Tribolium castaneum: one gene and its partner. The protein of the gene in region 1 interacts with the protein of each later gene in a pairwise test. Links are inferred from orthologs where the notes say so. Each region holds a gene or a part of one and is shown in the gene's direction. Other genes may lie near its edges.

The links.
Region 2: the proteins of uncharacterized protein LOC655683 (region 1) and Dph3 interact in binary tests that used the Homo sapiens proteins (3 or more experiments, as listed by UniProt). The link is inferred for Tribolium castaneum from reciprocal best matches to the Homo sapiens genes SERGEF and DPH3.

Annotation. Positions count from the first base shown.
Region 1 is NC_087398.1:4,656,642-4,660,996, forward strand, and holds uncharacterized protein LOC655683, read left to right. Parts: upstream 1-1,521; 5' UTR 1,522-1,957; coding exon 1,958-1,975; intron 1,976-2,027; coding exon 2,028-2,453; intron 2,454-3,442; coding exon 3,443-4,093; 3' UTR 4,094-4,202; downstream 4,203-4,355. Other genes in the region: NADH-quinone oxidoreductase subunit B 2-like, read right to left, coding at 761-905, 949-1,418; Fam92 (CBY1-interacting BAR domain-containing protein 1), read left to right, coding at 4,291-4,322. UniProt on the Homo sapiens protein: Probable guanine nucleotide exchange factor (GEF), which may be involved in the secretion process.
Region 2 is NC_087396.1:11,845,405-11,848,624, forward strand, and holds Dph3 (diphthamide biosynthesis protein 3), read left to right. Parts: upstream 1-1,513; 5' UTR 1,514-1,758; coding exon 1,759-1,866; intron 1,867-1,912; coding exon 1,913-1,987; intron 1,988-2,034; coding exon 2,035-2,106; 3' UTR 2,107-2,478; downstream 2,479-3,220.

The DNA of each region.
Region 1 (4,355 bases):
TCAAACTTTTCATGAAAAAGGGTGTTTAATCCTTTATAAAGGGCGTGTTAACGTGTGTTGTTAAGTTTACCACGTAATAAATCATAAGGTATAACTTTTCTATAAAAGCATTTTGCAAAATTCTTATTCATTATTTTCCTCATTTCCTTTGTGCAAACAAGCCGGTTATGTGAAATTTTGGTGCGAAAATTAGTGGTATCGCCACAAATTGTGTTAGTTTTAAGTCTCCATAAAATTCGGTTGTAAAAGTAGGGTTATGTTATCAGCTGAAACGTAAAAATTTTAACATTTATGGATTTTGTGTCCGTTTCTGCTCTTTTAGAGTGTTATTAACTATTATTGAATATGTTATGGGTAGATAAATCTACCTTTGAGTCAACGACATAAACTTTAGTGTGATTTATTGAAATGTATATAGGGCAAAAATGAACTTTTCGTGTTAAACATTTTGATGAAAAAGGGCGTTTAATCGTTTATAAAGGGCGTGTTTTAAGGTGTGTTAAGTTTACCACATAATAAAACATAAAGTACAACTTTTCTATAAAAGCATTTTGCAAAACTCATTCATTATTTTCACTATTTTCCTCCTGTCCTTTGTAATAGAATCACATTAGAATTGTCAGGTCAGATCAGGTCACCACTTTTGATGCTGTCTTCACCGACATTGCGTACTAACCATAGACGGCGCAATTAAATTTTTATCAAGGGGGTAATTAAATAAAATGTCAGGTTATTGGGAATCAATATTATTTTATTTAAGTCAGAAACGATTAACAAACCATTTCTGTATCGCATTGTGGCGATTGACCTTCTTCTGAAGCTGCAAAATCCCATACATGAGCGCCTCAGCGGTTGGGGGACACCCCGGGACGTAAATATCGACCGGAATAATCCGGTTACAGCCCCTATTGAACCGTTAATTCGTAATTTAGTTTCCTATAAGCATACCTGACCACGGAATAGGAATAGTGATAATACCCGCCCCCATTGGCACAACTGCCCATTGAAATGACCCATCTGGGTTCGGGCATTTGATCGTAGACTTTTCTCAAACTTGCCGCCATTTTATTGGTGACGGTTCCCGCCACAATTATGACTTCCGTTTGGCGGGGCGAAGCCCTAAAAACGACGCCGTACCGGTCCATGTCGTATCGCGGGGCTGCAATGTGCATCATTTCGATAGCACAGCATGCCAAACCGAAGGTAAGGGGCCACATTGAGGTTTTCCGGCCCCAGTTCAGCAAATCGTCCAGACGGGCTAACACCCATTCGGTTTGGTTTTTAGGGCGGAAGGGCGAGTACGGACGGCGTTCGGGACAGGTGGACTCGCACCTGATGGGGTGGAAAAACTTGTTTCTAAATAGCTGGAATGGAAGTCTTTTAAATTGTGACATGACGTTTTTGGAAAATGCGCCCATTTTCAAAACGTGTGGGGAATTGTGGTGTGTGATTGGTGGCAGTGTTTAGTTTTAGTGTGTGAGAGAGAGATTCGATAGCGGCGATGGTGGTGTGGAGAGAGATGGAGACAACTGTCTAAATCCAATCGTGTCCATTATGTTGGCCAATGACCGATTATAGTAAGCATTTTTTTGCGTTTTGTCGAGTGTGCAAATCCCTCGTTTCGAGTCTTCACCAAAAACCGTGCTTTATTGTTAAGAAGTGATCCATGCATCGAGTTTGGTGTCATTCCGTACCAATACCACCAAAAAAACCCGAGGAACTTGTTACCGCATCTCGCTAGCAACATTCGAATCGCTCCATCTCCGTCTGTCGCCCGGCGACTGTGATACAAAGCTGTGGTGACGTGTGCGTAATTCACTCGAAGCGCAGTCGGTGTAGTGTATTTTTTATTATTAAGATTGGCGAACATAACCTCAATTAGGCAGAGAGAGGACGCGTGTTTGAATAATTTACCATTTGGCGACGCAAATACGGCCATCCGACTTAACAGCTCGAGATGATTTTGTACAGTTGGGTAAGTGGGCGCTTGATTGTTGGCGGGGGTGGTTTTGACCGGGCGATTCCAGGGCGCGAACAGCTACGGCCAGCTGGGCTTGGGACACAAGTCCGACGAGGAGGTGTCTCCCAAAGAGGTGAACCTCGGCGACACCGACCTGGTGGCCGATAATATCGTTGCCATAGCCGGCGGCGCGGGCCACACTTTAATTTTAGACAAAAATGGGTTCGTCTATTGTTGCGGGTGGAACTCCAAGGGCCAGTTGGGCACCAGCGATGATACTCTGAAAATCACCCAGATTGAAATTCTGAAAGGCTTTCGGATAGTTCAGATTTCATGCGGCTGGGATTTCAGCGCCGCGGTGTCCGAATGCGGCAAGCAGTTTGTCTGGGGGAACAACTCCTACACCCAGCTGGGGCTCTCTAAAAGCATCACCTGCACGGGGATCCCGTCGCGGCTGCAGGTGTCCCAGAAGCTGGCCACTGGCTTCAAACAGGTAAGGTTCCACAGGGTTAGGGTGACCAGATTTGTCTTAATAATAATAATAAATATCCCACCATTCTAATAAAAGAAAACCCAAAAATCGTTTACTTATGCAAGGTCCGGCGACCTTACCGCGCGTCCAAGACAATCGCGACTTTTAATTCTAATGCTTCTAGTCTTTTTTTAATTCTTGTCTTTGTAAGTAAAAAATTACCCAAAGATTAGTCAGGCAAGTATAATGCAAAAAAATCGTGATTTCTTATCTACGTAAATAAAAATAAACGGAACAGATAAACAAAAAATCAATATCTCGTAATTCTCGGTCACTTAACATCTCTTAAAGTACGAAAGAAAACAGTGAAACATATACATTGGTACGAAAGTCGCCAAACGGTGACTTTTATTGGAGCAGGATTTTCTCAAAAAGAAGTCAATAGTTACAAGAGCTTGACGACGTTACAGCAAAAAACAGTAAATGCCGAAGACCGACTTTTACGCATTATTTAAAAAAAAACGTTTTTGTTCTGCAAAAAAATTAAAAAATGACCGTCAGCATGCTACAGATACCATTGGCCCTTTTTTAACGGTAGCTCTGCTAGAATTTGCTCGAATACAATTTCACGATTTGCAGATAAGTCCAAATCCTGTTTTTATATCAATAATCGTCCTCTAAAGATATGGAGAAGACTTTTTTCATTTGATAACTTTCAATGGCTATCTTAAGAAATAGAGATGAAACCATATTTCGTATTTGCGAACGATTTGCTGCTCTACTTGGTCCACAATTTATTTTAATACATGTTAAGTAATAACCTGATAACGTTGAAAAAATATGAAATTTCAGTTTTTATTCCTTAAATTTGCGCCGAAGTGATCAACAAAATTTGATAGTAACAATAGTTACAAAATTTATTTTGCTGTAAAAATCAATTTTTGTCCGGGCAAAATTTTGTGTCTGGTCACCCTCACAGGGTAGTCTAAACGGGGGCAATGTGTGTGCAGGTCAGCTGCGGGCTGCGCCACTCAGCGATGCTCAACAAGGACGGTGGTCTTCTAGTCGCAGGCACGGGCAGCAAGGGCCAGCTGGGCCTTGGCGATAACTTTGATGACAACAACTACCTGAGTATATCCAAAGTTCCGGACTTAGAGGACATAGTGAGCATAGCGAGTGGCCAGCACCACACCGTGGTCCTGAAGGAGGACGGCACCGTGTACAGCTGGGGCGAGAACAAGTACGGGCAGTTGGGCATTGACCCCAACATCTCGAACAGTTTCGTCCCGATGGAGATCCTCCATGACGCCAATCTCGGCTCCGTGTACGCGGGCTGGACACACACGGCGGCCCTCTCCAAGTCGGGCGAGGTCTTCACCTGGGGGCGCAACAGCTACGGCCAGTTGGGGGCCCAGAGGGAGGTCACCTACAAGCCGGAGAAGATCCCCGGACTTAAGGACGTCACACAGTTGAGCGTCGGCTCCGAACATAATCTAGCCGTTACCAAAGATGGGAAATTGTTCGTTTGGGGGTGGAATGAGCACGGGAGCTGCGGAACCGGTGATAAAACCGACGTCTGCAAGCCCACGCAGATTTTCGCTAATAGAAAAGTCAAGGCGGCTTTTGCTTGTACCGGTAGTTCTTTCGCTGTTGTCGAATAGCAATAATTAATTCTCTTTTTGATGTGCATAAGTATTTTTATAAAGAATTATTATTAATTGAATTATTGTATTCCGTATTTTTATAATAAAAATGTGTTGCATGATTCCATGACGGCGTTTTATTTAGCCATGTTGGCACAACCGTTTGTTTGTGAGTGGTTGCCCTTAGAAACGCAAATAAAAACAATTCAACAATAATGTTGAACACGTTCCGGGCGCGGAATAATTGGTAAATATTTATTACTTTACAATTTTTCAAGAT
Region 2 (3,220 bases), on another chromosome or scaffold:
CTTTTTTTCATAGAAAAATTGTTACACCTGATCCGGGTACTGACCGTCTTTTGCAGACATTTTAACACAAACTTTTTAAATAAATCAACATTACAAACTATGCAGGGTGGTCCAGGAGTAATCAGATATTTTATGCATTTTATTTACGAGTACGATTATGATGATTGATTATGATTACACACATTCTATAAATTGTAGTAGGTTTAAAACTCTATTTTAATTCAGCATAATAATAAGCCTTTTAAATATTACGAGTACACTAACTTGCTCATATTGTTTTGCAGTTTATTAAGTACTTCTCTATAAAAAAGATTCGAATGAACGCGGTTTTTCCTTTATAAATCACTTTATGTTGTAACAAAAAGTTTCAGCGTTATCGGATTTCAATTAATTTTAAAACGCTTAATGACGATGCATTCTGAAACTAGTCGGTTATATTTTAACAGAACGTTTGACTTTTGGCCTGTTCTAAACATAAAATCAACGGCTGAAATTAAACATGATTAACGAGCAGCAGACTTGTCAAAATCAGATGCGCTACCATTCTACGCTCAATGCCCCAATAATAAAAACCAAAGGCGTAGTCATTGGGAAAATACTCAAAAATAAAATGTTTTGATTTAACCTTGATTCGTAAACAAATTAATTCTTATTTTGATTCAGTAGTGCGTTGATTTTATCCCCGAACGATTATAAGAACGCTCTGTTCACCTGAACACGATTCAAATTTCACGAACTGAACAAATAAAATCGTCTCTATGCATTATAAATATTTTTTTCAAAAATCACTATTTTCCTCCCTCGTGGATGGATATACTTTATGATATTAGCGTAGTCCCGGAAAAAAAGATGACTTTTTAATGCTTTCCGCTCGCGTAGGAAAGAAGCCTTTTGAAGGTAAGTAAAATAGGAATAGGTACGTTACGTACACCGTACACGTACTGGTAAATAAGGTATCTATACTTTTACATTAAACAAAAAAGGGTGCAACCGCTCGGATTGCTCTGATCCCATGCTCACACATAAAAGCGCGAGTGAACGATCATCGATGACGACTCAGATATTGAAAAATATCTCTGCATCTGCCTCACGCTCAGGAATCAGAACTACGACTCATCATCGTGGTTGCGTCAACTCTACGTTTGAGTGTAGAGTATGTGAAGATATACTACAGAAATGATCCTGTGAAGTATGATCTTGATGAAACAATCTTTAGGACTTGTATTTGTACCAACACGTACGACAAGTAAGCGTGAGGACTACTGTTACTGCCATCTTACGGACGCTCTGTAAATTGTCCGACAGTATAAATTAAATTATATTTTGAATTGTATGTTGTTTTGAATACCTTGTAATCAGTGGAATTAAGAAACACCATGTCTTGTCTTTAAAATAATTACAATTACTGTTATCAATTATTATCAAAAGTAGCTAATACAGACTCGGCTGAAGTGCAGGACTTGAGAAAATTTACCCATCAGTCCTCGGTAGTATAGTGGTCAGTATCCCCGCCTGTCACGCGGGAGACCGGGGTTCGATTCCCCGCCGGGGAGACTTTTTTTAATTAAATTTTAACTATTTTACTTAAGATAATAATAAAACAACCCAACAGTGATTCTCCACAATCTCGAATTTAATGCGTATTATTGTTGCCCCTCAAAAAATTAAACGTCACGTCACATCACTCCACACATAACCACAATCTGTCACATGGTTTGGAACCTTAGAAAATTTTAAAATTCAGCCACAAATAAAGTAATGACTGTTTTTCACGACGAAATAGAAATCGAGGATTTCGAATACGACGAAGAGGAAGAAGTTTACTATTACCCTTGCCTATGCGACGATAGGTTCCAAATATCCAAAGTGAGTGCCTTGGCCTAACCTCATTATATTTACTATCAATTTTAAGGAAGAATTGCTCGCGGGCGAAGAAGTAGCGAATTGTCTGAGCTGTTCCTTGGTGGTTAAAGTAATTTACGACAAGGTAAAAAATAGCTTGTGAGGCATTAACCCCAAAAACCCTTATTGCAGGAGACGTTTCAGGAGCAAAATGAAGTCAAAAAACTAACCGAAGATTTGAAAAAATTAGAAGTGACTAAATAAAATGAGCGGTCGAGGCGGGCGAGGGGGCCGCGGCGGTCGCGGGGGGATCAGTAAATCATTCAATAGGGAGCAATTGAGTGCTATGGGGGTTGTCGGTAACGAGGTTTTGCCGGGACCTGTCACGCAACCGCCCCCTCTTTACCCGATTTTAGACCGGAGCTCGATTCCATCGCCACAATTGTGCATACAACTAAAATAATCTCAAAACTGGACCAATTCAACTAAATATTGCACCAACAAACACAAATCAATAGGAAAAATACAACTAATTGACATACTTTGGCCATTCCTACTTAGTAAAATACACATCAATTCTACTAACACAATAAATTAGACATCACATTGTTAATAAAATTATAACTAAAAACCAAAGAGGATTCATTTGAGTACGTACTTGGAGATCAGAGTCACTGCAGAAAAATATTCACCTACTCCTCTTTGATCCTTGATTATTAACTAGGAAGGACAGCTTGTGTCCTGTGATACCCTGTGCTAGGATGGAAGACTTTATAGTACAGCAACATGAACGTCAGTCCCGCAAAAAACGGAATAACGTTCAAATACACAATAGGTGTATAATAAATCTGTTTCTGCAGAGTAGTATCAGCATTACAGTACCACACAACATTAGCTATCGTATTTTCTACAAACAGCACGACGTAAAAGAAAACATATTTCAGAAAAGTCGGGCCTTCGACTAACGTAACTGGCGTGAAAATATACACAGTACCAAAAATTGAGTAGAAAAACATGTCATAGACCTTGTTATGTTTACAAAAATTATTTTTTTGGTTCGTACAAGACAGCCACATTGTCATCACGAACCAGTGGAGAACAATCACCAGAATCGTAGGCACCAAGTACTTGGATGCTATCACACTGATACACAGGATCCTTGAAACTAAAAAAAAACAATTAAAACAATAATTACGGACGACTAAAACATCAGGTGACACGGCGTACAAATAGCTGTGCAACTACAAGACAACACAATAATTTCACCGAAAACTGTTTTAAAAAATACGAACTTTTATTAATAAATTATTATTTACCCTTTTTATCAAGCGCATAAACGTGTTTTTTTCGTGAGCTAAATTCAAAATAGAATAAATAA